3 linked regions of the Schizosaccharomyces pombe genome follow. The protein of the gene in region 1 interacts with the protein of each later gene in a biochemical or structural test. Each region holds a gene or a part of one and is shown in the gene's direction. Other genes may lie near its edges.

What was found.
Region 2: the proteins of orc5 (region 1) and orc4 form a complex in vitro, tested with the Schizosaccharomyces pombe proteins (4 studies listed by BioGRID).
Region 3: the proteins of orc5 (region 1) and cdc18 form a complex in vitro, tested with the Schizosaccharomyces pombe proteins (one study listed by BioGRID).

The regions. Positions count from the first base shown.
Region 1 is NC_003423.3:948,734-958,734, reverse strand, and holds orc5 (origin recognition complex subunit Orc5), read left to right. Parts: upstream 1-4,417; 5' UTR 4,418-4,458; coding exon 4,459-4,815; exon of another isoform or gene 4,816-4,868; coding exon 4,869-4,943; exon of another isoform or gene 4,944-4,983; coding exon 4,984-5,919; 3' UTR 5,920-6,401; downstream 6,402-10,001. Other genes in the region: meiotic dynein intermediate chain Dic1, read left to right, coding at 1-66; scl1 (proteasome core particle subunit alpha 1), read right to left, coding at 343-1,077; Pex16 family peroxisome import protein, read left to right, coding at 2,247-2,391, 2,434-2,698, 2,743-3,300, 3,366-3,478, 3,521-3,534; protein sds23, read right to left, coding at 6,628-7,854. UniProt on the Schizosaccharomyces pombe protein: Component of the origin recognition complex (ORC) that binds origins of replication. It has a role in both chromosomal replication and mating type transcriptional silencing.
Region 2 is NC_003423.3:2,020,345-2,031,884, forward strand, and holds orc4 (origin recognition complex subunit Orc4), read left to right. Parts: upstream 1-5,043; 5' UTR 5,044-5,198; coding exon 5,199-8,117; 3' UTR 8,118-8,332; downstream 8,333-11,540. Other genes in the region: SPOM_SPBP23A10.11C (circularly permuted 1,3-beta-glucanase), read right to left, coding at 1-345; FRG1 family mRNA-processing protein, read left to right, coding at 3,605-3,642, 3,715-3,834, 3,895-4,353, 4,425-4,545; RNA polymerase II transcription elongation factor Ell1, read right to left, coding at 8,915-10,142, 10,243-10,451, 10,527-10,691. UniProt on the Schizosaccharomyces pombe protein: Component of the origin recognition complex (ORC) that binds origins of replication. It has a role in both chromosomal replication and mating type transcriptional silencing.
Region 3 is NC_003423.3:2,212,837-2,222,977, reverse strand, and holds cdc18 (MCM loader), read left to right. Parts: upstream 1-4,993; 5' UTR 4,994-5,104; coding exon 5,105-6,838; 3' UTR 6,839-7,023; downstream 7,024-10,141. Other genes in the region: SPOM_SPBC14C8.11C (uncharacterized protein), read left to right, coding at 1-328; mrpl24 (mitochondrial 54S ribosomal protein bL28m), read right to left, coding at 1,685-2,215; protein tam10, read left to right, coding at 3,782-3,884, 3,931-3,985, 4,043-4,104, 4,152-4,438; arc1 (ARP2/3 actin-organizing complex WD repeat subunit Sop2), read right to left, coding at 7,360-8,420, 8,468-8,540; meu17 (glucan-alpha-1,4-glucosidase), read left to right, coding at 9,606-10,141. UniProt on the Schizosaccharomyces pombe protein: Part of the checkpoint control that prevents mitosis from occurring until S phase is completed. Plays a key role in coupling S phase to start and mitosis. Acts at the initiation of DNA replication and plays a major role in controlling the onset of S-phase.

The DNA.
Region 1 (10,001 bases):
GCTTGTGGGGGCCTCAATGGAAACGTTCATATTTATAAACATTTAAGCCCTAATTTAGCCAATTAGGCGAATGAAAATACTGATTTTAGATTAAATTTTACGACGCACAAATCAATGAAATATTAATGTCAAGTTCAATAAGAAATATATTTCTCTAACATATCTTACTCTATGAAAAAGCGAAAAGTTTTCATCAGGAAGGACGTAACATGGCATATACTGATTTTATAAATCAAATAAACCCTTCAAGAAAAGGGAGGAATAAAGGAAAGTAAGAACGTAAAGATGCCAATCGAAATTACAGGTATATAGTAAAACTTTCATTCAAACCGGTCTAAACAATCAATCCTTTTCGGCAATACTTTGTAAATGGGCTTCTATTTCTTCTACTGATAAAACTCGAAATGGTTTGTCGTCTTCAACAACACCAATCTGAAGCTCAGTAGACTTAAAATCAGTACTTAAACTACTCATTAAAGCCTGAATTCCGGTTTCAACGGTATCAGTAAGGTTTGAAGGTATTCCGTCCTTTTTGAATCGTTTTTCTAGCCAGTTTATAGTTTCCGTTTGCTTTGGTCCAGCACTGGTAGCTTTATAACCAATATAGAAACCAGCAGGGTCGAGCTTAAATAGGGAAGGTCCAATCTCATCATCCACAGCTACAAGGGTCATTGCAACTCCCAAAGGCCTCATAGCAGCACGTTGGGTAGAAACTTGAGCAATATTAGCCATTCTTTTGGCTAGAACATCGCAGGGCATAGGGTATCCATTTTTGTATTCAAATTCAGCAGCCTCACTTCGAGCCCGGCTAACTTGCGCGCGAGCGTCCGCGATAGAGCCTGTCATAACACAGCCGATTCCTTTAGTAATAGGAAAAACATGTTTAACGGTAGAGGCATCAATAAGTTTGTCAGGTACTTTTTTTTGGGAGATTACACATGCACAATTTTTACCTGTTACACCAACAGATGTAATCCCTGCGTTATTAAACGCTTTGAATGCATATTCAACTTGATAAAGACGTCCTTCAGGGGAGAAGACGGTAATTGTCCTATCAAATCCGCGTGCTTGAGACATCGTAGTTGGTAGTAGTAGGTTTATAACCTGAAACTTAGTAATTGTGGAACATTAGTACACGCACAAGAGCTTCTTCGATTTCGCTATATTTTGCGTTACGACTCTTTATAATGTAAACAGATGCATGTCGAACATATTAAACTATATTCAATTGAAAAAGAATGAGTTATTGATTTTCTGATATTTCCCACTTTAATTTTATTATCTAATCTATTAGAATAGGAATATCCAACTTTTTGAGTATATAGTTTAGTCTATGCGAAACTTGCTGCCCACGACGAATTGACATTGAGCTTACAAAAAATAATTAAAAAGTATAATTGAAAAGGATGCTCGATTGGTTGATTAATTAAAAAATTCAAATTTCGAGAAAAAAAAATAGCTATGCTAAGAAAAAATGTAAGATGGCATTGTATGTGATATGAAAGACTAAACCTCTAGGAATGATATTCGTTTAAATTAATAAATTATGGTTTTTCTGAGATGAAATCACAAATGTAGAAATAAATTGTTAGAAACTCAAAATATAAAATATTTATGCATTCGATTTTATTGTTTTGCTAGAATTAAAAAACTTAACACAATCCAAAAACTAAAAATTTATAAATCAAGCAGAAGAAAAATACTATAAAATGGTTTAAATGATAAACAACTAAAGCATTGTTAATGAATAACTATATGATAATTTTAACGAAGAAATTGCAATTACTGAAAATACAACAAAATAAAAAAAATAAATAAATGAATATAGCTATCATTTGAAGTTATAAGACTCAGTCATATGCTAAGCATTTAACCATAGTGAGTTTGAATTTATTAGCAATGGATGTTTCAACAAGATCTGCAGATGCCCACGCCCAAACCTACGCAATTGCGAATTTGTACCAGGTTTTAGTAATTTCAGGAAATAATACCCCGTATCCTTTTAATTAGTTTTTTTTTTCATATATAGGGACTTCTTTGCTCATCACAATACCCATTTATGGTTGTTAGTATACCTAAGATTTAAAGCTTCTTTTTGTTTTGGTTGTGAGCTCTGCATATATTCTTCATAACTTCGAAAATTAATTACCTTATCATTTTACTAAAAAACTGTTTCCCTTTTTTCTTCTGTGTATAATAAGCAACCAAGTTTATTATTTATACTGACGAGTCATTTGGGACATAAAATGAAACCTTTAGCATATTATGAAGATCAACTTTTAAAGGATGAGAAGTCATTTCTTAAAGTTACTGAAATAGAAAGATTGCTTAGCTATGCAGCTTATTTGTTGCCAGCGGAATTTCGTGATGATCAACTTAAATCACAGACAAGTATGGATTTAGCTATTTGTTGTAATCTAACCTTTTGTTTAGTCACATCTATTTTACTACTACTTCATCAATTCCATACTGGCTTACTGTTTCGTAAAATTGCTGAGTTACCAAAAACAGAGCAAGCAATTTTGAAAAGTGAACGTACTCAGTACTTAGAATATTTCAGAAAAAAGAATCCTTCCTTCGAAAAAGTATCGGAACTTCTATACTTTCTAAACATATCGACGTTCCCCATCGAGCTTGTAATTTCTAAATACAATCCATCAAGACAGTATGATTCTGTCCTATTCTTGGAATCAGTCAAGTACGGAAATCTACTTTTCGATTAAAATTGTTAACAAATATTAGATTTTTACTTCGGGTTCACATTATGTGGACTACTGGAGGTGATCTTCCGCTCTCTAATCCTGTATTGCAGCGCGATTTCAATGTAAAGACTTTCATTCATCTTCACAAGAAATACTCTAATTCAGGAAGTGCTGTTGTGTTAAAAAACTCCAAGAAAGTTGTTCCCAGACTTAATACAGTCAATTCATCGCTTGACTTCTTGCAAAACCGAACTCCACGTCTTTCTTCAATTCTACCAGATGAGATTTTTACAAAAAGACTTCCCAATCTACGGATTTTTTCTAATTTTATTAAAGTTTGTCGTCCGCTTATCTATATGTTGTTTATGTGGCATTGGAAAAGAAAGCAAAAATCGAGTTCTCTTAAAGTTCGACCTTGGGGGCCTTGGATTGTAGCGTTTGTTTTTGAAGTTATTTCTCAATTAATTGATCGAAGATGTGAATCAGCGACTTCTAGTCGCCAGGGGTTTGGACTAGAACGCCGGACAAATCAAAGTCAGTTTCAGCATTTTGTGGTTTGGGCGTTTACTCAAGGACGATTTTATGATGAGTTTACCAAGTATGTAATTTATTTGAAAGGTTTTTATAACAAAATGTCGTTTTTCAACTCACTAACTAATTTAGACACTGGATAAATCGTTCCCTAAGCTGGGTTAATTCAATACCCGTTTTTGGTAAATATCTACTTCTTTCAGTTGAGGAAAGACAAAAAAGTCTCGAAAATTATATATCCTCTGGTATGATATTGATATTTTTACTGCTACTAACCTTTCATTCAGTTAGAAACTATTAAGGAAGCCTTGATGACCAGAACCTATAGAAATCCTTTTCTTATTTATTTAACTCGGTGTTTTTCTCTCTCTTGATTTCAGTATTGTTAGTATTTCATTTATCTACTACGTCTTTTGTTGCTTTGATGATTAGTCTTCATTCTTCTATAAAACTCAGTACACTTTTATCGAAAATAAAGCAAAAGCTTCAACATTGCATGCTACGAAGATTAGCAACGTTATCCATACATGAGTCAATCAGTATCTGAAATCTGCGGTGCAGATATGTAAGGTTTAAATAAGACTTTAAATTTCACAACTAAAGAATGCTGTGTTAAATTCAGACAAAGGAAAAGATGTAATACACTGAAATTCGGATATTATGATGAGTTCATATCAATTACTAAAAAATGCATTTTGATTTTTTTAATAACATACTTAAAACAGTTAACGGCTAGATTACAAATTAAATCTAAGCAATATTTAATTCTACGTACTCCGCACTAGGCCATTTATTCAAAAATAATTTTGGCTATGCATTAGCGGTGAAGAAGTTAGTATTGAAAGTGAATTAGCTAGGAGAAAGAAAACTTCTAATAACTCAAGCGAAACGAACTTCTGTTCTTTACTACTATTAATCAAATATATTACAAAAAATAAAATTTTATAATTCTATTTTAGAATAACTGTTTAAGCACATTTTGTTACGACAAGGCTTCTCAATAAAATACACCTTGAACCAAGTACAACGCTTATAGTAAACAATCAATTAAGATTTCAATAATTCCAAAGTTTAAATTGTATTTGAAATGTACGAATATTATTCTTCGTTTTCCATTAATTACCTTTCGTTTATTTGTATAAATTAGTCCACTAGTTTTTGCTTCGAGCGATGAATGTTTCACTGCACGACACCATATGCCAAAGCATAAGCATATTGCCATGAAATGCATTTGTATCAGTTGGAAGACGAATTAAAAAAGAATGTCTTTTGCAGGGAAGATCAAATAAAGAAACTTTCATGTTTACTTTTTAATAAGGATTGTCGTGTTCCAAGCATTGTGCTTTACGGAGTTGCTAGTACAGCAAAGACTTTTTTATTGCGGACCGCTTTTGATTTGTCAAAAGAAGAAAATGTTTGGATTAATTTGCAAGACTGTTTTACAGTCGCTCATTTCTGGTACCGGATCCTTATAAAAGTCGGTGTTGACAAAGATATAGCATTAAAAAAAGGCATTAATATCAGTGGATTTATTTATTTACTGGAACAGGCAATGTCCAAAAGGGACTATCATACATTTTTGGTACTTAGTTCCTCTCCTATTTTATTACTCTTAAATACTAATATGAGTTATAGGTGCTGGATCAAATAGATGATTTCGCTGAGGCTTCTACTATTCTATTCTCACAATTAGCTCAGCTTCCGATTGTTGTAAGTAAATATTTACAGACCCACTGATTAACTATTTTAGGCAAACATTCCCAATCTGTCAATCATTTTTGTACTTCATTCTCACCCTGCTCAATACTTGGGAACATTGTCTATTGCAGTGATTTTTTTCCCACAATATACCCAAGCGGAAATATTAGAGATATGCCAAAAAACACCTCCTAATTTAGATTTTTTGGATAGATCTGGCGATAGTGTTTTTGAAGACGAAATTGAGCTCAGCGTCTGGATGCAATATTGCTCGTTTCTTTGGAGTGTTTTTGGAGTGCAGTGCTTAAATGACTATAGGTCTTTTCGTAGTGTTTTGGATAGATATTGGCCAAAGTTCATTCAACCTATAGTTGAAGGAGACATACATCCTGCTGATTATGCTCAACTTCACAAGCTGGCTAAAAACTTTTTAGTGTCAGATGCTACGGTTACTAAAAGACTTCACATAATCAACCCGACTGAAATAAAAAATCTTCTTGATTCCAAATCTATTAACTTGTCGCTCGTTTCCAAATATTTACTCGTTTCTGCATTCCTAGCATCTTATAATCCAAGCCGGTTAGACGCCCAATTTTTTTCATTTTCTAAAACTTCGAAACGACGTGGAAGAAAACGTAAACAAATTCAAGATGAAGGGGTTTTATTTTCCAAAATACCAAGAACCGCTGGGAGCAAAGGCCGGTCTGCTGTAAAAATATCCCAACTTACATTAGGACCTAAACCTTTTGAAGTAGAAAGGTTGATTGCTATTTATTATGCCATTTCTTCCCCGGTAGAGAAAGTTCTGACCGCTGATGTTTTTGTTCAAATAGCTACACTCGCCTCCTTAAAAATGATACTTTCGGCTTCCAAAGGTGTGCTTCGCTCTTTGGATAGCCCTAGATACATTGTCAATGTCTCTCGCGAATATGTATTAAAAATCGCAGATTCACTTTCGTTTCCTCTCGATAGTTATTTGGCGGGATAGCTTAGTATTATGGTTTATTTTATTGCATTACTGAAATTTTGAATATCGTAGTTCTGTCACAATTCATTAATTTATACAGAACTATATGAACATCCATTCTATCTCCCCATAACATGTTATTTTACTGTTTAAAGGGCCCAAAACTTAAAAAACATATTTTTTTTTGTTACTTCTGGAAAATAAAAGAAAATGTACACTACAAACAATTCGATTACGCCTCTGTGATTCTGTGTAAACTGTTACGTATTTAACATTATGGAAGTTGGCAAAGCTGTAAAAAGCAAAAACTAGCGCCGAAAACACTCTTGACAAAAAAATAAAGTAATGTGCTGCTAAGATGGATACATAATATATATCAAGAGGCAAAGTTTCAATCATAACTCTGATATAAAAGTTAACCCTCTGAAAGAGCTACTCTGCTGCCGTGTAAATCAACAACGGGAGACAATTCATTAATAAGAACATATGTATAAAGAAAAGCGTCCGTCAGTTAACGTCAAAACATAAGTAAAAGTATATTTTTAATGGTTAATAAGAAATCATTGGAGATTTAACCAAAATCTTATCCATTTAAAGATGATTAAAAATAAGTATCAAAACCCGTTCATGAAATATGGAATGTTAGAGGTAACAGTAAAAGATGAAATAAAACGGAGGTTCAAATGAGAAAAAGAAAAAAGGGTGTTTCAAATCATCAAATATTTAGCATCACCGACGTTGTGTATCTACACTAGCTTTGCTATGGCTACGATGGCTGCTTGTGCTTCCTCGACGTCCATGTCTAAGCGAAGGAGCACTATGGGGAGCGGGTGGAAGAGTGCCTTTCATGTGAGCATATAAAACAGATATGATATCAGTTAAGCTAACAACGCCCAACAATTGATTGACCTTAACACCACCCATGGATCCAGGGGAAAGATGTGCGTTATTTTTTGGGGAAGGAGGGCAGGAAGGTGACTGCACAAGCCAAAGACGATGACATTGGGTAGCCACCAACTTAGCCAACGTAAAAGCAAAAGTAGAGGATTCATAGATGTTAAAAGCAGGAGCACTATCCTTACCAGCGCGGATACCCTGTTCGCTTTTAATGACACTCAAAAAGTGAGCACATGATTTGTTTAACAAATAGACAGAAGAAGAACGTGTAACGTATTTAACATCAACGAGAGATATGTTGCCAAGTAACCGGAATTGAGCATCGACAACAGCAAGTGAACCAATACCGGTTTGATTCATCTGTCGCAAGGCCGCGGCGACTTTTTGATCTCCAGAGATACAGGTGATGTCAGTGCTTCCAATGTCCAAAGAGTGAATTGTCCTGGACATTAGAGGCTCCAAATCGGGAAACGCACGAATATTATTCCACAAAAAGCGGATGATAGAGCGCTGAGAAGCCATAAAGCTCAATTCACCCTGTTCGTTAGTGACGGCAACACGACGAATACCGGAAGAAAGAATCTCAGCGAGACGTCCAAGGCTGGTGGTGTGAGGGATGGTGATAAAGTCATCCTTGTTTTTCCCGAGTTTTGCAACCTCATAAGCAGTAATGACTTTTCCAGCACGAATATCTTCAGCGACCTTTTTAAACCTGCCATCATTGAAATCATCAAAACCCACTACCATGAGCAAAAATGAGTTAAGATCTGCATAGTCAAAGGTCGTAGCAATCTCGTTGCTTCCCTTAGCAGCAACAATAGGCAAGGCGCTAAGATCTCGGTCGATCAAAATGGAACTTGCCTCTTCCATGGAAGTTTCCGGGTCTATGAGAGCAATTTCATTATCATGAAGAAATGTTACAGGGATATCTTGCCATTTATTTGAAGGAAGATTAGTGGGAATGGGAAATTGTGCCAAAAAATCTGAGACCGAGTTCACGCCAAAGGACTGACGTCCAGCGCTCGATAAAGAATCAGACGATTGAGTTGACAAAGGCATTCTATACAGTTTTCCAGTTAAAATCTCTTTCTTTCCTCTGCATACAACAAAACTTACTGTACCGTGCAGTTTGTCAAATCTAGGTCAGTGTGTGGTTCTGGATAGCGTTGAGGTAGGCAGTGACGGAAGTACCTAGTGATACAACGAAATAGGGGTACGCAGTGGTAAGGCTTTTTTAATCCACGACCTCTTTACCACATTAGACTGAGATCTCTGTAAATCCCGCCGTATACCACCGTCTACCTAATTAATCCACCATGTATGTGGCCTAGTTAAAAATTTCATAATCTGCGATTTCAGTATTTACATCACAATCAACCACTATTTCATTGCTTGCCCGCTTTCATCCCAGCAAGGTAAAACTAGGCAAAAAAATTTTTATTCTTTTTTAAAAATTTAAAAATTAAAATTAAACATAAGGATGGATTTAGTATGAGAGAAAAATAGCCAAGCGGTTAATCGGACGTTTTTCCTTGTTCATAAAGTGGGAAAGTGGGGCAGCTGCTCTAGTTGTAGATGCAGTGTAGGTCGGTTTTGCACAACAAAATCCTAATTTTGTCATTGCAAAAAGGCAAACAAAAATTTGTGTGCAACGATGAAGTGATTAGATGAAACGAGGCGCGCCTATGGAGCAATAAAGCGCTTTGTTTGTTAAAAATGCTTTTGAATTAGAGTTATGGATGAACAAAGTCAACACATTCATATGTACTAAATAATATTAAGACGCAGTATGAAACATACATAATTCAACGTTGCGATACCGAACAGCATCTACCCAATCTTGAAAAAAAAATTAAAATTTACTCTTTATGTTGTTTGATAATTTGGCAGGAGAATAGATAAGTCAAGTCATCAAGTAATTAATTTTATTAGTTAGTTTGAGAGTAATCTCGTACTGTAAGCATAATAATGCATGCTATAATATTGGGTACTCAGTTCTCTAATTATTATACATAGTACTTACACAGATGATCATCATTACCATTGCTTAGCAAAATTGGCAATCATAAACAACAGATATTTCTACCACTGCTATAGCGCTATACATCATTCGAATTTTGAGTGGACTTTTGCTCAAGACTTATTTGTCGAAGAAACGAATGAAAATCCACCCCTTCGTCTAATTTCTCTCCCCAAACATGGAGAAATCAAATCTATGTAATATAGGTTGGAGATGACCAAGTCAGCATTAAATGTTTGATCATCTCTTCACTTAGCAAATCCTATTGAATATCACTCAGTTAATCTCTTGTTTTGATCTTTTTCATTGATAAATGAGTACTAAATACATTACTGCTACGTATTGCTTCGTCTCATATAGTAACGGTGGCCAAATTTGAAGTGCGACAAAATACCATACTACTAGTAATAGAAATTCACATACTGAAACGTCAGATGCGTTTAATAAATAAAGCGCTTGTGTTTTGTTGGCAATTTGTGATTCAACGTGGTAATTAAAAAGTTTCAATATTGAGTAAATGGTCCGCTACAGATCACTCCGGGGAAGAGGTTATTGGGTTACGTAAAAAGACTCATGTGCTGTGGGAATAGCTATTGAAGAACACAAGGTATCGATTGTGTCTCACTCGACGTACCATAAGAAAGTTAAATGGTAAAGTGTGATATATGAAGTGAAAATACAACGTTACTATAATTAGCGGATCCAAGATGTCCAAATGATGATGATGATTGATATAGGAAATGCGATTATGTAGAAGATAAAGTGAATTTCCAAAATATCAAAATTAAAATCGAAAATAATCGAAATAACATATTGATATATATATGTAATTTGAGAAAATAAAATTTAAATATATAGGACACAAATAGACGCTCATCTAGTAGAAGAAATTCCAGCAGTCCAGTTACGGTTTGTAAGAGCATAAAATAAAGTAAATCCATAATTCATATAATAAGTTTTCATCTTGTCCTTTATTTAATTTTATTTTTTATTTATTTTTTATTTTTTTTTTTTAAATTTTTACTCCTTTCATTGATTAATTGTAGTAAAAAAAATCTACAAATTCATCGTCCATTTTATCCTATTCACTCGCAATTCTTTTTGGTAAAACACCCACGTGCGACTTTGTATTTGCTTAACGTACAAACTGCCAGTAGCTTAGTGTAAAAAAAAAATTAAAAAAAAA
Region 2 (11,540 bases), 1.1 Mb from region 1:
GTTGTTGCTACGCTTACGAAGAGAAGATAATGCGTTAGAAGTGTCGGGATAATAGACTGCAAAACGCTTGAGCTCAATAGGGCCACGGAAGTGGAAGGAGAACTCTTCGTCAAAGGGAGCCAAATTGCCGCCATAAGACTTGGGAGTACTGCTACAAGAGCATGAAGAGGTATCCATGTTGGTGATTTCGTTATAAGTAGAAGAATAGCCAACATTGGTGAATTCTACTTCGGAGGCCTGGTTACAGTAGTAGTAACCATTTTCCTCAGAGCATCCATCGGCTTTAACGCCAGAAAACGCGAAACAAAGGAAGAGAAAAGAAGCAATAAACGACTTGGCAATCATCTCAAGTTATACAAAGAAAAGATAAATATGTGAGTAGATAATAATATACTTAGACGCCGAACTAGGTATGGTTGAGGGGATATGTATGCAAACGCGTCCTAAATGAAAAAGAAAGGATTAGTACAAGTAAGCACTTGCCAAAAGAGAGCGTTTCGATATGGGGTATATGTAAAGAGTAAGTTTTGTAAGAGGCTGAAATTGGAAAACCAAGTTAAAACAATATATTGTTTCCGAAAGTGACAGTCGAGAACAAAGGATTGAGGGAAGAAAGAAACTGCAAACAAAGAGGCTTAGTTTTAGTTCCTCAAGACAAAAAAAATCCTTGTTCAAATAAAGGATGTAATAAAAAACGATTTTGAAAGAGAAATGAGTTCTCAAAAACGTTTGACCAAAAAGAAGTATCAAATCAAGTAATGCCTTTGCTTAGACAATACTCAAAAACCACAACGTATACAGTGGTTTAGTTGAAGTAAAAAAATAAAGGCAAGAACTTTTAGGTTATAAAGATATTTATATTTATATAACCAAGATTACCAGCCTCCTTGACGCAAATGATATAAGTAAGGAACGACTACCAACCAAGATTCACAAAAGTAAGAGTGTGACGAGAGTAAAGGCTAAAGAACCGAAAACACAAAGAGAGAGAGAGTAAAAAGAAAGTGGGTATTTTAGTAAAGAAACGAAGGTGAAAAGTTGGATTTAACACAACAACAACGAGAGTAAGAAAGAACGGACGTGGAACCGGATCAGAAGACCAACAAGTAGTTGAAGTATGTATATATTAAAAGAAAGACAAGAAAGTACTTAAACCACTCCGACTGACCAAGATCCGACACTCAGAAATTTTTTATCCAAAAAAAAGGCGTAGTTAATAAAAGGTAGTTGTAGTAAACAACGGGTTGTCAGGTGTTGTATATAAAGGAACGTCGAGGTTAGGGTTTCCTGAGAGCGTTTATAATTGGTTAAAAAAAAGTCATTCAGGACAGATTATTCGTTAACGAAACTTTTGATTCTAGAGATGACGGGCTCTGAGTGGTGGAAACCATGAGAGCAAAAGCGTACTCTAAAGTTTAATGCAAAGTAGACAGATTTTGATTGGTTTATGATAGGAAAGTCGGAGCGAATTGGAGGAAAGGAAGGTCAAAGTGAGCTGTTGCAATCTGCACGGGTGTACGCTTGCGTCCAGTAAAATTCGTAAAAGGGGTTTAATGAGAAGGCTGCTAATTCAACAAAGGCAAACTGACTGGTAGCGGGGATCTTTCCTTTGTGCTCTCTTTTGGATGGATATCGCTGTATATTTTAAATATATCTAACAATATTATTTTAAGGATTTCTAGACAGTACCGCATGGAGCTGGCCACATGCAATTATTAGGTCGTACTTAGAGTAATAGTAATAGTAAAATCAGGGCAGCATGTTATGTTACATCAATGTTTACAAGATCGCAGAAGTTGTAATAACTAAGTCAATTTTTTTCTATTTCTTTAGTCTTTTTCTTTCATTTGTTGTTTCGCACAATTAAAATTGCGCTCTAATATTGACCTATTTTTACCCATCCTTCTATGGATTGAGATAAACCATATTAGAATGGTCGGGTTCCTGACCAGCTTTGCGATCAGTATGGAATTGTATTGTCTAGCGATGGCGATTGTGTGACAATCAACAATTAATTTAATTATTCAATTCTGAGCAAATTTAGCACTCAGCCCATTTGGACTTTAATGAATCATTACTTTCACCAATTGGACTCCAATGCGTGCCACCTAATTTCATTGCAAAGAAATGGCCATATCGGAATAATGAATGCATATGCTAAATTAAAAAAAAAATTAAATAATAATTTGCGAGCTTATGCTCAAGAAGAACATTAATTGCTGAATTTGTGGTTTAAAACATTGTTTGGCAACTAAAAGTTAACAGATAAATATTTATATTTATATTTATTCACTGAGCATATTAATGGAAAGCTATTGAATTATATTGCTGAAATTCCTTATATGTATATTCTTAATATTATTTATTTATTTATTTAAATTTTATTTTTATGTGGTTGAGGCTTATCATATTATTTATCAAGTCCATACATCCGTTCAATTGTTACCAATGTTTGCTTAATTGTGTCCAAAACGAAATTGTAGATTTTCCATATTTACTAGATATTCACGTGGCCTCAATTTATATATCAAAACCAATAATGAAAAATTGCGCACTTGCATTAATAATTAAACCATTGTTTTTATTTGCCATCAGCAATAATTTTTTGATTAAAAATTTTTTAAGAAAAAAAAAAAAAAAAAAAAAAAAAGAAATTTATTCACCGTGATTAAGAAACTAACATATTACGCATATGGTTAGTATATTAGATAAAAATAAATTCTTATATTTATTATTTATTTTTTAAAAATATTTATTTTATTACAAACATTAAAATTTTCATGTTTCAGCATTTGGTTTAGATGAATGTAAAAGTCGTTAAAAAATAACCTTATTAACTAACGAGTTAGTTTTTTTTTTTTTTTTTTTTTTTTTTTTGAATGTTTTGGAATTTCCAAGTTCATTTGTACAACAATAATCAAGTTAATAGATTAAATAACAAAATTAATACTATTGTTTTTTTATCACTCAAATATTTTCATCCACTTTTGTGCTGTTTTTAATATGCAGGTATTATGGCTACACTTATTCACATAGTAATAAGTAAATTGAAACAGTGCTCATCTTTTGTAAGCTTTCAACTGAATAAGCAAAAAAAAATTCTTATTGTCATCAATGGACTTCCTTTTTTGGAATATGACTCGTCCTTCAACGAATGTTTTTGGTATTGAACAATGCTAGTCTTCGGTGCATACTTCTTCTCTCATCTATATTCAAAATTATCATTCAATTAAGCACATTTTTTTTCTTTCTCAAGCCATTAGAATGTTATGCAAATCATCCATTTTACAAACCAACATTAGCATGGGTCACAAAAGTCACATTGTGAGCAACAGAACATTTCTATTCATATAAAGCATTTCCTTGCTTATTAAAAACGTTTGAACCTCTTTTGTTTTGCTAAGAGTACCTTGCCTATTCCTCAGAACATATTGGATTTCAGCACGAAGAAGCATCTGGTCTGTTCAAATCCTTAACACTACTCCCACTACTTGCTTTTTCCTCGAAAACCACGCATAAATATTTAGTCATTATCCATTATTAACAATTATCATTTTTAAGGATTTTTAATCGTTTAAATTCTTGGTAATTTACTGATGGTAAAATGTCTATGCGATTAACTTTCAAGGGAGACAAAAAGATGTAAGATAAAATGAAATAACTGCTCGAATGTGGTAATTCATATTATATTGTTCATCACTAACAAGAAATCAGTCAAAAGAAGAAAAAAAAGAACACAAAATCACTTCAATCTTCTCTAGAATCAGCTGAAAACGATCCTTTTTGGACGGACGCAAACGAGCTAAATGAGCTTGAGGGTCCAGCGGTTATATAGTAAGCTTAACTTCAATATTCTTATACCTTTTTTTCTAATTTACTTACAACTTTATGTAGTAAAATAGACGATGATGCTGGTGTATCTCTTGGAATTGAAGAAGTTAAAGAAAGTTGCGTTCTTCTTCCCCTCGACAAAGTTTCGCTAGAGCCAGAATTGACGCGCCAGGTGTTTTTGTTATCCATACTGAACAATACTATACTATTGAAAAGCTGTTTAGGTAAATACATGTCATGTAGTAAGTCTGGAGACTTGTATTGTACGCAAGAGGCGGTAGGATCACAGGAACAATGGATAGCGGAGAATCTGGGCTCAGGATTTTGGGCTTGGAAAAGTGTATCAACGAAAAAATATTTAACATTAAGTAGAGAAAAACAAGATCAGGCCATTGCATGTGTCTCTGACACTGTCATTCCTGAAGCCAAATGGAGAATTCGAGTACAAACTCGTTTCCTAAAGAAAAACAAGTCTTCTTTATTTGACAACCCAACCATACATTCCAGACAATTAGAATCTATGTAAGTTATGCTATTCTATTTTATTGGGGTTTCCCTTCTACTTTCGTCATTCTAACTTTGTAATTTTACAGGGCTGGAAGAAAACTTTCTACCGATGAAAAAAAGACCCTCAAAAAAGCGTTTAAGGAAGGAGTTCTTCATGAAGCATTACTAGATTTACGAGTATCTTCAAGGAGCGACAAATATGGTTAATTTTTCGGATATTCTTGATAAACCATTAATATCTTGACTTACTGATTAATGTACGATTACCTGCTGGACCAAAGCTAGCAAAAACAGATTTGATTTTTTCTCTTGAATTTTAGGCACCTTGTATAGCTATTGAGACTCCTTTCAGCTATTCACTACTTTTATGTATGAATTTACAAAGCTTTATGGTAATTACTCATTTCAAAAGTGAAGTGTTTTACTTCATTCCTTAATTTTAACGAACTATTTTTTTTTAATAAAAAATGAATATTTAATGAATCTGTTGAAATTCATTCCCTTCATACATGTATGGTTTTACAAATAAATGCAACAAGTAAATAATTATAGTCATCAGCATCGCTTGAAAAAGATTAAAATAGTTTTAGATTATTACTACTATTACCTAGTCATTATTTCAGCTTCAAAAATATATTTCTATACTGGCCCTGTCCTTAAGGCTGTACGCCAATCTTACTGCTCACCTTTACCAAGAATCGAAGTAACACCCTGCATCTGTCAAGTCAAGAGGAAATTGAAAAAAATAATTAGAAAAGAGACCAATTAATTGCATTTGTTAATAAAAAGGCTAAATTTAGAGGATCATTATTTTTACAGTGTATAAAAACCATAGGGATGTGCATCTTCAAGTTTTTAATATGAGCTCATCCCCATTCACAAATCTTGGGAATTTGGACACAGAAGCAATCTATGAAAATAAGGAAAATGAATACCAGACAAACATAACTAATGAGACCTCAAATGTTCAAAATTTATCAAGTGGTAATGATGATCAGCAGTATCCCAATTCTACGAATGATGATGCAAATAATGGATTAACTGCCTCTCAAGCAAAATTGCAAGATATTGCCGCTGTCACTTTATTTCAGGATAATAATATTTCAACTACGACTTTAGCTCCGCCTTCACCTTCACCTTTGCGTCTCAATGAAGCTCCTCGCAGACGTGGAAGACCTCGAAAATATCCACCAAAACCAATTGACGAAGGATCGGAGCCTATAATCAAACGGAAGCGTGGCAGACCTCCAAAAATAAAAAGTTCTTCTCCTTCCACAAAACTAGATGATCCCTTAAAGCCTAAAAGAGGTAGAGGACGTCCTCGTTTACATCCTCTCCCAGTAGTGCAACCGTCTGTAGATGAGGGAACAACTCAAAATAATCTACAGATGGGGTTAGATGAGCCGAATATCATAGAAGGTTTTGCCGAAGGGCATGCCAATTTAAGTGAGCTGAAGCCAAAGAGAGGGCGTGGACGACCTCGAAAAATAAAACCAGAAGAAGGGAGCTCAAGTCAAAATGGGCTTTCTCCTTTGGTAGTATTACCTGCGAAAAGAGGGCGCGGGCGTCCACCTTTACATCGATCTGAACAGAAGATTGCAAATACTCCAATTTCGAATAATGTAACGGTTGAATCGACAGGTACAAATCTACATACTCATTCACAGTTGAATCCAGAAAATGAACAATCTTCTTCTGAATTCTATTCATTGAATCCACAATCTGAAATACGGAAGGAAGTTGTAGTCACAGATCAACCTTTATTTTCTACTGCAGACGTCCCAGTAAAGCGGAAACGTGGACGACCTCCTTTAAATAAGCCCAAGATACTTTTTGGGACAAGTACTGAAAATAAAATAGATGAAAATAGACCCAAACGAGGTAGAGGAAGACCTCGCCTTGAAAGACCGAGTGGCTTGCCTTTAGATTCAAAATCACAATCCCTTTTTAAAAGAAAGCGTGGTAGACCTCCAAAAATAGCTAGTGGAATTGTACCTTTAAGCGCCTTTACTAGAAAACATGAGGATATGCTTCATGACTCAGACGCGTTGTCACTTAAACATTTTGCTATTACATCTCCTAATAATCAACAGTTCCTTAATAATCAACAGCGAGAATCAGCTCCGTTGCTTCCTAGAAAACGTGGACGACCACCGAAAAAGCGTCAAGAGAATGCGGAAATTCGTAATATCACACCTGGTTTAACCGATTCCTCTGTTCACTCCTCTTCAGCAACTCCGCAATCCGAATCTTCATCACCCAATTCAGTTTCTCCACTACTTCCTTCATCTGACAGATTACCCCTTCTTCGACAATCTCAATTTACACCTCCTCCCAAAAAACCTAATTTCGAAGTTGCTATTATTTCTCCTAAAAAGAGTCAGCATAAACTTTATCCTAATCCTGTCGTTGAGTCTGTATTTAATGACGTCCCATATTCTGAAATTGACTCACAGTTACATACTATTAAATCTACGATTGCTGCAAGGTTGTGTGGGAAAAGCCATATCCCTCTTGTAGGACATATGGATGAACAGACAAAGCTTTATCAATGGGTCCGACAAACTATAGTACTTGGCGAAGGTAATTCTGTCATTATTGTCGGTCCACGGGGTTCTGGAAAATCAGTTCTCGTGGATGATATACTATCACGCGCAGCTCAGGAAATAAATGAAAAAAGTTATGTCGTAAGATTGAATGGTACGTACCAGACAGATGACAAACTAGCTTTGCGTGAAATATCGCGACAATTATCTATTGAACTTGAATCTATCGAGTCTGATGAAGCATTAAAATCAGAAATGAACTTTTCTGATACACTTACAAAATTGTTAGCTACATTGTCTCATCCCGTGGATTTGGGAATTGCAGAAGACGTAATGACAACGTCTGCAGCCGTGATATTTGTTTTAGAAGAGTTTGACCTGTTTGTTCAGCATTCACGGCAAATGCTCTTGTATAACTTGTTTGACATTGCTCAATCGAGGAAAGCCCCGATACTGATCATAGGCTTGACTACTCGCTATGATTGTTCTGAATCACTTGAAAAGCGAGTAAAAAGTAGGTTTAGTCACATGGTAATTCCCATGCGACCACCTTCTTCGCTTAGTGAATTTGAGCAAATTTTAAAATCTGTTTTGTATGTTTCTGACGAAGGCGGAAAAGACCAAATAATAACATGCTGGAACCAGAGAGTGGATGAATTGCTTTCCGATACACGAAGTCACTTACATAAATTGGTACAACATCACTATTTTGCAAGCAGAAATTTAAAATTATTGTATGTTGATTTATTATTTCCCATACTTTCCATGGCACCTGATCGTCCATTACTTGCTGATGAAGACTTCGCCAATATCAGTCTCAAAGTTTCTGACCATAAGGTTGAACTTGTAAAGAATTTAAGTTTGTTGGAGTTGGCTTTATTGATTTGTGCAGTTCGCTTTGAAGCTAGGGATATTCCAGCTTGCAACTTTAATAGTGCTTATCAAGAATATCGACAACTGCATCAATCTTCCGTTATAAATGCCGCAGCATCGGGAGCTCTAGCTCATAGCAGTCGATTATGGGGAAGGGATGTTGCTTTGGAAGCATGGGAAACTTTAGGGTCTATAGGATTGATTATACCGGTTCACCCTTCTACTAATGTTAGTGGTGCCCTTTCTAGACAATGCCAACTATGGCAGCCAGAAGTGGATATCAATGTAGTTTCTGTAGGTTTGCGTGAACATCGACGTTTGCCATCGCATTATTACCGCTGGCTTAAGGAGGTTATATAAAAGAATTGCAATTTTTTTTGTTTCTGTTGTATTTTATTAACTTTGTATCCTTTTTAAATAAAACAATATAAGAAAGGCAAAAATAAGGACGACCGTGTTGAAGGTTATATACCATTACACATTGTAGTTATTACCGATATTTGATAAATAAAAGTTTTAATTTTAATTGATTAAATATTTGCTTCTGATAAACGAAAATAGAATTTACTTTTTTGCTATCAGCGCTGGTTAAGCTGTGAAAGAAGCTGGTCTCCAAATATTTATATTAGATGACTTATGAAGGTAAATCAGTAATCAACGGATCAATGAATACCTAAACATTTTAATGATAGTTTTTGTTTCAGGGTCACTTTGTACTAATGTAGAAAAAAAATTTTGGCGGAATATTTCATGAAAGGTGGTAAGAAAAACAAAATAAATTAGATTAAACGAAAGGACTCATCAGTGGTACTTTTAAGCCCAAAAAAAAGTGATAGCACATAAGGAATTCACGCAGTTTAACTAACTTAAAGATATGTCATAAAAGTTTAAAAAAAGCATCACAATAACAAGATTCTCATTATAAAATCAAAAACAAACTAATATTCAATAAACTGCTAATTGAATATGAATTTAACCAATTTATCTTTTAAACGAAACACTAGCCTTAACGAAAGCAGGAAAAAACAGCCTGCACTCGTTGTAGGCACCGTACAGTATTGAAACAATTTTGAATTGAAGCTGAGATAACCGTCACCTTTATAAAACATTGGAAATAAAACTGAGTGTTAAGAAAACCGGAAATTTATTGAGAAAAGTTAGAGGGCTAGCTCCGAGGAAGCATCGTAAAGTGTATTTTTCCAGCTTTTGAGCTGAGAATGTAGAGATATAAGTTCATCTTGGAGCTTGTTTAAATTAGGATTATTAGTATCATTATTATCATAATATGAAGAGACTTTTAAATATAAATTCTTATAACGCGGATAAGTTTCCCGAAATCTTTTTGCCAATGCTCGCATTTCTTCTGTAGTGTAACGTTGTTGACGACGCTTTTTAGCTATCCATGCATCTTGTTCATTCTTCTTGGGAGAGTTTGCATTGGGTTCAAGAGTGCCGTTGGTAGAAGACGAAGACGTAGGAAACGGGGTGGAAGGCAAGGATTGCGGAGGAGAACGACTTTTTCGTTTGATATGTGGAGATGAAAGATTGGAGCAAGTAGTGGAAGAGCCAGGTGAAGGAATGTCGGAGATAGGAGTATTTAAGTTTGTTGTATCGCTTAATGAAACGGCAGAGCTTTCTGAACCAGTACGAGAAAGATTTCCCGATGTTTTTCGGTGTGAGGAGGGGGAAAGCAAGGGAGAATAGTTTGAAGCGTTGAGCTTGGGTATGCGGTGTTGTTGTTGATAAGAAGAAACCGAGGAAATAGAAGGCATTGAAGGAGAGTTAGTGTCAATGAATGAAGGAACATGAGAAGTGGGTTGGGCCAATTGGGGAGGAATTCGTTTTTCATTGTTGAGTTTAGTAATGTTTTTTTGTTTTGACACTAAAAGTGAACGTTCAGGAGCATCAGGAGGCAATTGCATGTTGTCGAATGCATTGGACATACGACTTAGAACGGCATTCCTGTCTGCAATACTATAAGGACGCCAATCAAAGACTCGTACATCTTTATACACAGGATTAAGGAGCTCCCATTGATTCATGTTGTTCTTCCAAGCGACTTCTGGTAATAACGCTTGTAATTTGGAAAGTGACGCCTTTGTTCTTAAACGAAGAAAATCTTCAGTTTCGGGAGCGATTGCCAAAAGTTGGATAACACGAGTACGAAGATCAATGCCTTTGGCCGAGTTTTTATCACCAGAATAATGTGGTGATGCAGACGGTTGCGAGACGGGAAGGTTTGGGGAAGGTGTATTTGTGGGAGAAGAGGAAAGACCAATTCGTGAAGCACTTGTATTGAGAGGCCTGAGTCCATTTTTTTTTAACTGCTTTTGCTTCCTAGCAGTTGTATTTTTTGAACCACCATCATTTTGAAGGGTAACAATTCTATTTTTACAAATATTAGCATAATTTGAAAAGAGAAAGATTGAAAGTAACTTCTTCCAATCCATAGAATTGGTTGATACTATTGTCGTTCTTTTCATACCTTTTTTCTTCTTTTTCCTTTTGAGCTTCCTGCGTACGATTTTTCACTCGCTCAGCAGTTAAACTGTCGAGCTCTCTACGAAGCTGTAGCTTTTGTGAGACACGGCCAACCAGTTGTAACGAATTCGAGTCCACCAGTCTGTAAATCTCATGCGGAGCAGTTTCTGGAACGGAAGTGCATTTGTAAGACCTATCGTTCGCTAATATTGACTAAAAAAAGTATATTGGTTAGCAACATTCAAAATTCATTCTTCTTTATCGCTCTTCACAAATGCCCACACATACAGTACCAACATCACTGCATTCCAAGCTCACGTCTGTTATCGTTCCTGAAAGATATCCTTCGAGAAACTCTTTGGGTAATTGTACCAGCATCAATAAAGGCGATTCTTCTTCATTTCCGCCTAATGCTACAGGTAGAGCATCAGAAATGCTACTGTTCCTAATCATTCAACCCAAATAGATCGATAGTAAAAGCCTCTCAAAATGATTATATTAGCTAGATGGCACAACGGAGAAGCTTGTTTAAGAAGCCAGTAAGTACGGTAAAGGGATAAGAAGGTGGACTAACATAAAGATGCACCTTATGTATGAAACCTAGCTAGAGCTAAGTAACAAAAAGTAGCACATATTGGTGGTGTACAATAGGAATAAGCAGCGTATCGCTAAATGGAAAGAATAATGTAAACATTCGAAATTCAAAGAAACAAGTTGCAGCTTTGGTGTAAAAAAATATTTCTTTTTATGTCCTTTTAGCTCATATGTGACAGTGTACTATTTTTTGAGATGAATATCGGACTTTGGTTTACATAGTTCAGTTTTTAGTAACAGTGGAAAAATGAGAATTAGGGAGCGATGCTGAACAAATTTGAGCTTGCGTCCTTAGTTTACTATCTAGATATAAGTAAATCATATTTTTCTAAAAAAATAAATTTCCGTTAGGTTCGAAATTCTAAGCGGCGGAATAGGGTTACGGGACCAGAAATTTATTGATGAACTAGTGAATCTTTTAGACTTATTTAATCAATGACTTCTTGAAAACTCTACTGAATTGAAAACAATGATGCTTTACAAATTTTGCCAATTATTCCATAATTGAATTCACTTTTGTTGACGAACTGTGGTATTTATAATTTCAAACAAAAAAAAGGTCTTTAGTACATTAATTTATCAGGTTAAATGAGCCAATATAAAGCTGTTTAATTAACCACAGATTTTTTTTTGATTTTACTTGCTGGTCCTGTTATTCGTGTTTATCAAACTACGCAATTATTTAGATTGTTTTTATGATAATTTGTT
Region 3 (10,141 bases), 1.3 Mb from region 1:
TTTATACTGGACAACTTTTGACGCTCATAAGTTACCGAATGGAGGAAATGCTGATATGGCACATTTCTCTGCTAACTGTTTACATGCTGGGCACACAGTAAAATTCGTATCAGCAGACAGGCTAGGCAGTACAACTTGGGAATGCAATATTAAATTTGGCATACTAAGCTTTCCCAATTTTGGAAAAGACGATGCAGCACAAAATTGTTTTGCTGAACCAAGTATGAAATCCATATCAGCAGATACTCAACACATTTCCGCTAGGGAATACATATCTGGAACGAGTAAGGGATTCAAAACAGCTACACCTAAACTCCTGAATATATAGTATTGACTTAAATTGTGTGAATTTTTGTTGGATCACTCGCTCACTGTCCCAATTGATACTTGGTGTTTATCATTTGTAGCTGCTTTAAGTCAAAATGAAAAACAGGTTTGCCATAAAGGTACTGTTACAAAACCTATAAAAAATTCAATGTCCCTAGATTATTGGGTTGTATTTAGCAACCAAAAGCTTGGCTAATAAATCACGACAAATATGAGTTTGTAATCCAAGGAACATTTTTGTCAACTTCAATGTGCTCAACATCTTTCGTACACTCTGTGTAGACAGTTTAAATAAAGGAAAGAGCGCCCAGACAATATGCCTTATCAGTATAATAAAATGAATAGAAAGCTGAAACAGTTTTTTTGGAATAGGATTTGTTATTGTGAAATTGAATCAACTTGCAGCAATCAAATTTAATCACTTGGCGCATAGAGGATCTTGATTATATTTTCTGTTCTAATTTAGGCTAATCTGTTATGAGCAAGGAACAATTTTTTTTTTGATCGGATACTCTCTAAAGCAATACATCCGTTTTGTCAGATGGATCGCATTGTCATCACAAGAACCAAAGTGAACAAGCTCTCAAGGCCAGCAGTCATGACTTCTTTTTTTTCAATTTCAAGACCTTTTATAGTGATAGAAAACTACGCCTAGATGGGAACTGATATCAATGTTTACACAATAAATATCTATTATCCCCCATATTCAAACGAATCATTAACTATTCTACAGACTCCGTAATTGGCATTGAATGAATTTATTGAAACGGGAAAAGATATTTTGTTGAAAAATGAGACCAAAATGTGCGAATGCAAAAATAAATGCATGAGAGAATTGATCCATATTACTTGAACCCCGATACTCCAGAAATTCGAAGCAAAAAACATATGAGGATGCACAGGAACCAGTGAAAAAAACTTCGGTAAGTCAATATTAAAGTAATAATTAAGATAATTCATTTAAATAAGTAAAATTGGAACTATAAGGTTTATCACAAAACACAAGTTGGAAAACAAATCAGGCAAGTCCTCTTCTGTCTCGCTTGTAAGACCAGTTATAAAAACATAAAACAAATAAGTTCCATGATATGATTTCTTCTCAAAAATTTTTAAGGATAAGAGAGAGAAGATAATATTGTAACCTTTTTGGAAAAAAATGTAAAGGAAAGTTATAAACATCGTACCATGGCAAATTAATTGTAACGCATTACTACTACATTGTTGCTAAATCCATGAGTAACCCAGTTAACTGATCGATCATAGAAAGATTGAAAACGTAAATTTGTTCATTAAAACTTTAGCTCACAAGAGTAATCAAGCTACTCATAAATCAACTTCAAGGCGGTGCAATTATAAGTTACACAGACGTATTGACCGATCGTTCCTTTCCAACTAAACTTTTAATTTGTTGGTATAACTTCTTGCTGCGATTTAATTTAAGTACCACATCCTTAACCTTTTCGAGGTATCGTTTCTGTGCGCCTGAATCGGAAGGAAGCTTTTCAAGAATGGGGTTTTTAGCACCCAATTTATGTAGTACCAATGCTCTCAATTCTACTCCTCTCAGTCCTAATGATTTAAGGCGTGAAGGCGTTGACTTTACAAGATACTCGTCAAGACCGCCTTCCTTGTCAATGGTCCGCAAAACTCGGGACGTGACATACAAATGAAACTTTTCTTCTAAAACATTTGAATACAACCATTTAGAATGACCGTTTGGTATCCATACACGGCGCGTTTTATGTCCAAACTTGGGGATTTTGTTGTTACCAGCTTCGGTTTTCGACCCACCATATAAATTTTGTTGAAACTTGCTAAAAGGATCATATATCTTTCCTTTTACAGGTAGAGTTGGGTATGCCAACTTTCTAAGCAATTTACTTGCCATTATTAAAAAATTGCGTTGTCAATACCAAAAGTGGTCTTGGTAAACGAGTTATGTTTCTGCAGGAAAACGCTATCCGAATTTTTGTTGACCCATATTAATTTAGCAGGAGAAAAAAAAAAGTTTATATATATTTGTCCAAAAAATATTTAAAATTGTCGGTGTTTACCATTATCTACCTAGTATCTATTTGCATCGTTTGCTTCGACCAAAATGGGATTTTCGAGCTAACCATACGTTCAGAAATTCGTAAATCGATAAAAAAAATAGTTTGTAAATCTTGAAAGTGTAATCTATATTGAGATTGTAATGCAATTTTCATGGGACCATCCAACTCAACAAGTGCACCTTGCCGTAATCTGATTTGAAATTGAATTAAATCAATGTTTTTCTCATAGTTTTTAAATTTAATTCCACTATTCCAAAGAAAGAATTGATATGATATGAACAAGCGCCAATCTCAACTTAAATTTGGCAATGAAGGGATCTCATTAGCGGTTCCTAAGCAATCCTTACAAGAATGCTCCTATATGTCCAATTTAATTACAGATAGAGAATCAACATTTTTATCTTACTTTGTCCCGTCTAAAGATCCAAAAATGCTCCCAGTATATAGATTTATGTTTCAAGAATCTGCCGACTTAAAGCATTGCAATCATAAAATGCAAGCTTGGCGTTTTCCCAATGAGATAGAGGCTTTTAATGATGACGGGGAAGAATACTCAGGACAAAAGCTTCTAAACGTGTTGCGAAAAGAAGATGTCTATGGAATGGTCGTTTGCGTCCGATGGTATGGAGGACAATTGCTGGGTCCTGTTCGCTTTCAGCATATCACCATACAGCCAAACAGTCAATTGATAAATACAAATCAGTACTAGAGGAAGAAAGAAAAAAGCAACTCCTGAGGACGGAGACAGGTCTACTCCGCCAAAGTTCGTCAAGATCAAGTTCACTGTTGGATCAGAGAATACGACAAATTACCGCTAAAGACAAAACTGTTAATCTTTTAAGGAAAACTCTAAATAGACCCTTACTTCATGAAGTTGACTATCACGGAAAAAGTCTTGAAATTCTTGATATGTTGTTGCAGAGCAGAAACAGTATGATATCTTCTTTGCGATCCGAACTACAGGAAAAGAATCAAAAAGATAAAAAAAAAGAAGTAAATAAATTAGAAGAGAAAATGACTAATGCTAAAGAACCTAATGTGAATGTCCCTTCTATGAAAGCGTCATCAGCTATTTCCGTTGAGACGCCTGAGACAATTGAATCAGAAGCTTCAGTGGACCACAAGGAAGCATCAAAGATCATAAAAGATGTAGAAAAAGAAGAATAATTGATTGCCAACCGATCTATCTAGATGTTTTCCAAAAACGGAACAGATTTTTGGTACTCAATAGATGGCTATATGCAGCTTAACTATAATGTTTAGAAATGTATTCAGATCCATAAACTTTTTTACGAAAAAAGATAAAACTCCGAGCTGTCTAAGGGTATTGCTTATTTGGCTCATTTGTTTACGATTTTATCTCTATTGGAATTCCACCAACGCCACGGTCTAAAAAAAAAATGGGAAGCTCCAAATCCTCAAAGAAGGATAAGCAAATCCATCCTTTTGGAACAGATGTTTCTACTTTTCGAAAGCTTTCATCAAAGGAAAAAAAAAAACTCGGTATGTTGGGCAAGTTTCTTTAAATTTCATTAACATGAGTGTTCAGATGAAAAAGAGTTAAAACAATACAAAAAGCTAAAGCATAAAGTTAAAAAGCTTAAGTATGTTTTTTAATGCTTTTTATTAAATCACTACTTCCCACTCTAACATAGTATCAGGAAAGAGGAAAGGGAAAGATCGAGTATAAAAAACACCAAAACTCTAGCGGAGGATCCTATGGGTATGTATATTAAGCATTAACAGTAAATGCTCGTTAACACTGAAAAGTAAAAAACGTAGCTGAAAATGATCATGATCAAATGAAAAACTCGTTAAGTAGGAGTCAGGATAAGGGAAACACTGACTACTGGCTTGCAGCGAGTTTGTCTGGTGGAAATCAACGAAAATCAAAATTTTTAAAAATGTTGGGTATAAAAAATGCTGCATCCATCACTGAATCGTCTCCGTCTGCTCAATCTAATAAAACAAATGACAAGCAGAGAGAGAAAGAACTAGAACAACAATATATGCACGGTGTTTTACACAAAGGAACAAAAAAGGGATTGGGCATGTAATTTGGGGTTTATGTTTAGTTTATTCTTTTGGATAATTACCAAAATTCTCATCTTCCTTTTGTTAAACTAGCTTAAAGTGTTCACTTGCATTCTAAACTAGAGGAAACTTTGCTATGAAATTCAATTTTAGTGAACATTGTAAGAGGTTTACTTTTCTTTAATCGAAATGCTGTTTGCTTTATTGGCCATTAGCACCAAAGATGGTATGGTCCATCAAAAATTCGTTCGTGGGACCTCTGTTATCTTTAGGGATAATTGAAAAAAGATTTTCTAATTTATTAAAAGAATTTAGGGTCTTTTACTTTAATTTTACTAACGTCGTAACTAAATTGGAATATGAGAAGGCATTTCATATCTTTGAGGATGAGTCGTTATAAAATAATATCATTACCTGAATATAAACTTATAGAGTAAAAAGGTTCGCGCGTAGAACGCGACACGACACGTAGAGTTGAACGCGACATCTCATTTACTCTTCGTGATTAATTAGATTTCGCGTTTACGTGTCGCGTCGCGTATATTTATAAAAGACATATCTGCTCTTAAACAAAACTTAAACACCAAGCACGAAGTTAATATTACTTAGTAGCCCTTTTATCAAATTTACCTGACTTGTCTATTGGTAAATAACATAATTAGTAAACGGGGTTACTATAAAGTATCGATATGTGTGAAACTCCAATAGGTTGTCATACACCTCGAAGATGCAATCGTTTTATAGATTCTGCAGCCTTGATTGACTGTACTAACAAAACTAATCAAAGGGAGCATTCACCTTCCTTTTCAATAGAGATTCCGACTACACCCAGCAGAAAACGTACGCTGGCTAGCTCACATTTCCAAACACCCACAAAAAGAATAAAATATGAACTAGGAGAACTGCAAGAGGAGAAAACTGACCTTTATCCTAATTTTCCTGCTCAGTTAAAGGAGAATAAGAAACCTAAATTACCCACAACACCTCAAACTCCTAAAACCCCCAAAAGGACCATTCAAATTGTTACACCCAAATCATTAAATCGTACATGTAATCCTGTTCCATTTGCTACTCGCCTTTTGCAATCGACACCTCACCGTCAACTTTTTCCTCCCACTCCTTCGACACCCTCCACTCCGTCCTATAATTCTACTGCCAAATTGAGTTTACGTAAATCATATCGTTCAGCAGGAGTCGTGGGTCGTGAAAATGAGAAGTCAATTGTGGAATCTTTCTTTCGTCAACATCTTGATGCTAATGCTGGAGGTGCATTGTACGTAAGTGGTGCCCCTGGCACAGGAAAGACCGTTCTGCTTCACAACGTGCTGGATCATGTAGTGAGCGATTATCCCAAAGTTAATGTTTGTTACATTAATTGTATGACTATTAATGAACCAAAAGCAATTTTTGAAAAAATTCACTCTAAAATTGTTAAAGAGGAAATTTTAGAAAATGAAGATCATCACATCAATTTCCAATGTGAACTAGAGTCGCATTTCACCCAGTCCGCCAATGAATTATATAACCCAGTCATTATTGTTTTAGATGAAATGGATCACTTGATTGCTCGCGAACAGCAGGTTCTGTACACGCTTTTTGAATGGCCCTCTCGACCGACTTCGAGATTAATTTTGGTAGGCATTGCAAATGCCTTAGACATGACAGATCGATTTCTCCCTCGTTTACGAACAAAGCATATTACTCCCAAATTACTCTCTTTTACGCCTTATACTGCTCAAGAAATCTCAACAATTATAAAAGCGCGTTTGAAAACCGCCGCTACCACATCAGAAAAAAACAATCCTTTTACTCCTATTAAATCAATCTCTGAAGTAAGCGATGATAGTATAAATGTTGTATCTCAGCATGCTGATGAAACACCTTTTATACATCCTGCTGCAATTGAATTATGTGCCCGGAAAGTTGCAGCTTCAAGTGGTGACTTGAGAAAAGCATTAGACATATGTAGGCATGCAATTGAACTTGCGGAAAGAGAATGGAAAGCTCAACATGACAACACATTATCTTCTGTTGATATACCAAGAGCATCAATTGCTCATGTTGTCCGAGCGACATCTGCTATGAGCCAATCTGCTAGTGCTCGTTTAAAAAACCTTGGTCTTCAACAGAAAGCCATCCTTTGTACGCTTGTTGTTTGTGAAAAAACCTCATTGAGTGTTGCCGATGTATTTGAAAAATACAGTTCTTTGTGTCTTCGAGATCGTTTGATTTATCCATTAACAAGTTCGGAATTTTGCGATGTCGCGAATTCTTTAGAAACTCTTGCAATCATTCGTTTGCGCACGAAGCAGCGTAACGGAAAGCCTCAGGACCGAATCATTAGTTTGCTTGTTCCAGAAATGGATGTCATTACAGCTGTTGGAGACATTGGTACCTTAAAACGATTTTTTGACAGAAGATAGTACTATCATTTCTTTCTCATTCTTTTTTTCTATTCATTATATTTTTATTTCACGCGTTACGGTTTTCAAATTTTGCCGAAAGGATCAAATTAGAACATCCTTTCAATTTCGTTGTTTGGATTACATAAATTTGAACAATATTATTTATCCAACTTGGTGTTTAAACTTTTCAGGTTGATCTTTACTAATTTTACTAACTATACAATTAATAAACACTTTAATCTAAGTTATATCTAATGATTATTCGTAAGAACGCATACCCGTGGTTCAGTCTCAAGTGGTGGTATAAGTAAACTTACGTAGCAAAAGCACTTCTCAATTTTGGGGTCTCTAAGAAAAAATATATACACAAAACTGAATATGATTGACAAAAATTTATAAGACGACATAGTAATCATATAAGCTGCGGAATAACAGTTACTATATCTAGCTAAAGCTTGTTCAATTCTTTTATTCTATGAGATTAACATCTACGGAAATTCGATAATTGATTTGATAAGATTCATTTGCCGATATCTTTTCTAAAGAGTCCACAAAACAACACGTCCGTCGGTACCGCTGGAGGTAAACGCAGTAATATTGCCAGGAGTCCCAGCGTAAGGTCGAAGGGTTGCAATCATATTTTGATGAACGGTTGGTAAAGACGAAATAGACTGGCTGGAGCCCTTCAAATCCATGTTACGGAATGTGCTACGAAGAGCAGTAAATGAAACAGGACCCTCTTCCTCTCTACCTTCACCAGTATTTCCTGTGTGAGTGAATGAGGTCTTGGAAGTTCCGGCATCCAAATCGCGAGTATGGGCCCAACCGGACTCATTGCCTTGCAAAAGAATAGGAGAATAGTTATAGCCAGCAGCCACAATGGCACTCTCATTCGCCCAAAGAAGAGAACGCAAAGGCAATTGAGATAATTTGACAGTAATTAGAGCTCGTGGGGGTTGCTCGGGAGCACTGGGATATGCAATCGTAACAGAAGAATCATGGCCAGCATACGCTAAGGCATTACCCGAAGGTGAAAATCCAACGGCGTGAACCCAACCACCAGATGGGTATTCAGCGCAAACAGTGTTGAAAGGTAAACGTGAACCCCAAACGCTGGCTTCTGGTTTGGCATCGACATCACGAACATAAGCAGATAAAACGTATGCCTTACGGTCTGCACAGCCGGCAGCTAATAAAACGTTATTAGGATGCCAGTCCAAAGACAAAATGGTACTACGAAGCGGACGTTTCAGATGTTTGCTGACCCACCAGTCATTTTCTTGTTCAAAGTAGCAAACAGAAATGACACGAGCACCACTACCAACAGCAAACTTGTCCTCGTTAGGCGACCAACGAACAAACGTAGCGGCACGATTCAAACGAAGTAAGACGAGGGTCTGCTTCCAAGTCCCATCAGGACGTTTCTCATAAACATAGGCATTACGGTCTTGAGAGCAAGTTACGATTCGATTGGATTTCGGAGCCCAATCGACACAAGTTACAATCTTATCGTGATCGCTAAATGTTCGGGCATGCTTCCACCCATTTCCATCTTGCTCGTAAAGTTCAACTTGGTTCGTAGCAGTTGTGGTGACAAACTCTATATCAAATTTGTTAAAATCTACTTATTTAGGTCCTATACTGTACCTGTTCTTTGACTATTGAACGCGTGTTCGTAAGAGGGTTTAGGAAGAATGTGTAAAACTTGAGAGGTAGCCATTTTTCAGTAACAGGACTAGCAGTCTACTGTTTTGCGGATGATAGACGATATCCAAGGCTGAATCGATATTGGTGATGACGAGAGCAGTAGATACATTAACAAAAAACGTTAGAGTACTTTATATACGATAACGCATATCGATGGTATCGGTAACTCCTTTGTTTACATTTTAAAGGTTTGTAAATATTACAACTCAATTAAGACTAAAAAAAATTCCATTAAATAAAATTTGATTTTCTTGCATATCTTTTAGAGATTTTTTATTTTTAAAATATGAGGTGGATACAAGATTTCTATTTGCGTTGATTGTGGAAGAACAATAGATCTTAATGTCTTGACAATCGTGAGTGAACGATGCTCTCTGAGTATTTTTCTTATTAATGAATAAATAATAGGGCGAAGAGCATAATACAATAATTCTCCTTTACAACAAAGAGATGTGTTTTAATGATTGCTGGAGTAACTGAAACGTTGCTTCAGAATTTGACAGCGACATCTTGTCCATTATCACAGTTATATTTTGTGCTTTTTAACGATGATTATTTAAAAAGATCACACTTGTTGCTTATACTCAGACTCAGTAGCGTATTTGATATTAAAAGCTGTGCTGTCGATTTTTTCCAATTCAACAAATTTTGTCGCTATTTAAGTAATTGGTGAATGCACACTTCCATATTATCATAGATCTGAATACTATAGAATCAAACTTTATAAGCAAGTGTTGAAAATAAACAAACAATAAATACATTTTCTTTGGTAATCCTTGCTTCGCCAAATTTTCAGTATAAGCCAAAAAGGATCAATCACATTCATTTACTCTGTTTATTTACTAACTTATATAGTCTAGTTTTGTCCATTCGTGTCGCAGCATGATGATCGATTTTGATGGTAATTCCCTCTGTTTTTGTTTACTAATAAACAAAGCAAAAGACATATATAGAGCAAATATTCCAGTTAAATTTTAACTAAAGCGCATATTTTTATTCGTTTGCCTATATAATTAAACACGATTGCCATCAATATTTGTATAGTCTACCCAATTTTACAATACTTTTAAATTCCAACATGCGTACATACTGGTTATTCTTACTCCTTGGGGGGGTCGTATCTGCAGAAAGCTTACTTTCCCCTAATAAAAGAAGCAAGGAAGCTTCTATGGATGAATGGACGGATCAGCAAAAGGGTATTGCTATGGGACATATGCTGAACAATATCGGTGACAGCGGTATGCATGCTAAGGATATTAATCCTGGATGTATTATTGCTTCCCCTTCAACTGATTCCCCTGATTACTATTATCAATGGGTTCGTGATAGTGCATTGACGATCATGACTATTTTAGATCGTTTCTTTGAAGGGGACAAAGGACTTGAGCCGATTATCGTCAAATATATGGATGAAATGGTCAGGCTCCAAAAGGTCCCGAACCCAAGTGGAGACTTTTACGCCGGAGGTCTTGGTGAGCCTAAATTTAATGTTGATGGGACAAGCTATGACGGAGATTGGGGACGTCCCCAGAATGATTCCCCTGCTCTTCGGGCTATTGCATTTATCAAATACATGAATTATTTATTTGAAAATGGTAAAGAGGTCCATGAAGT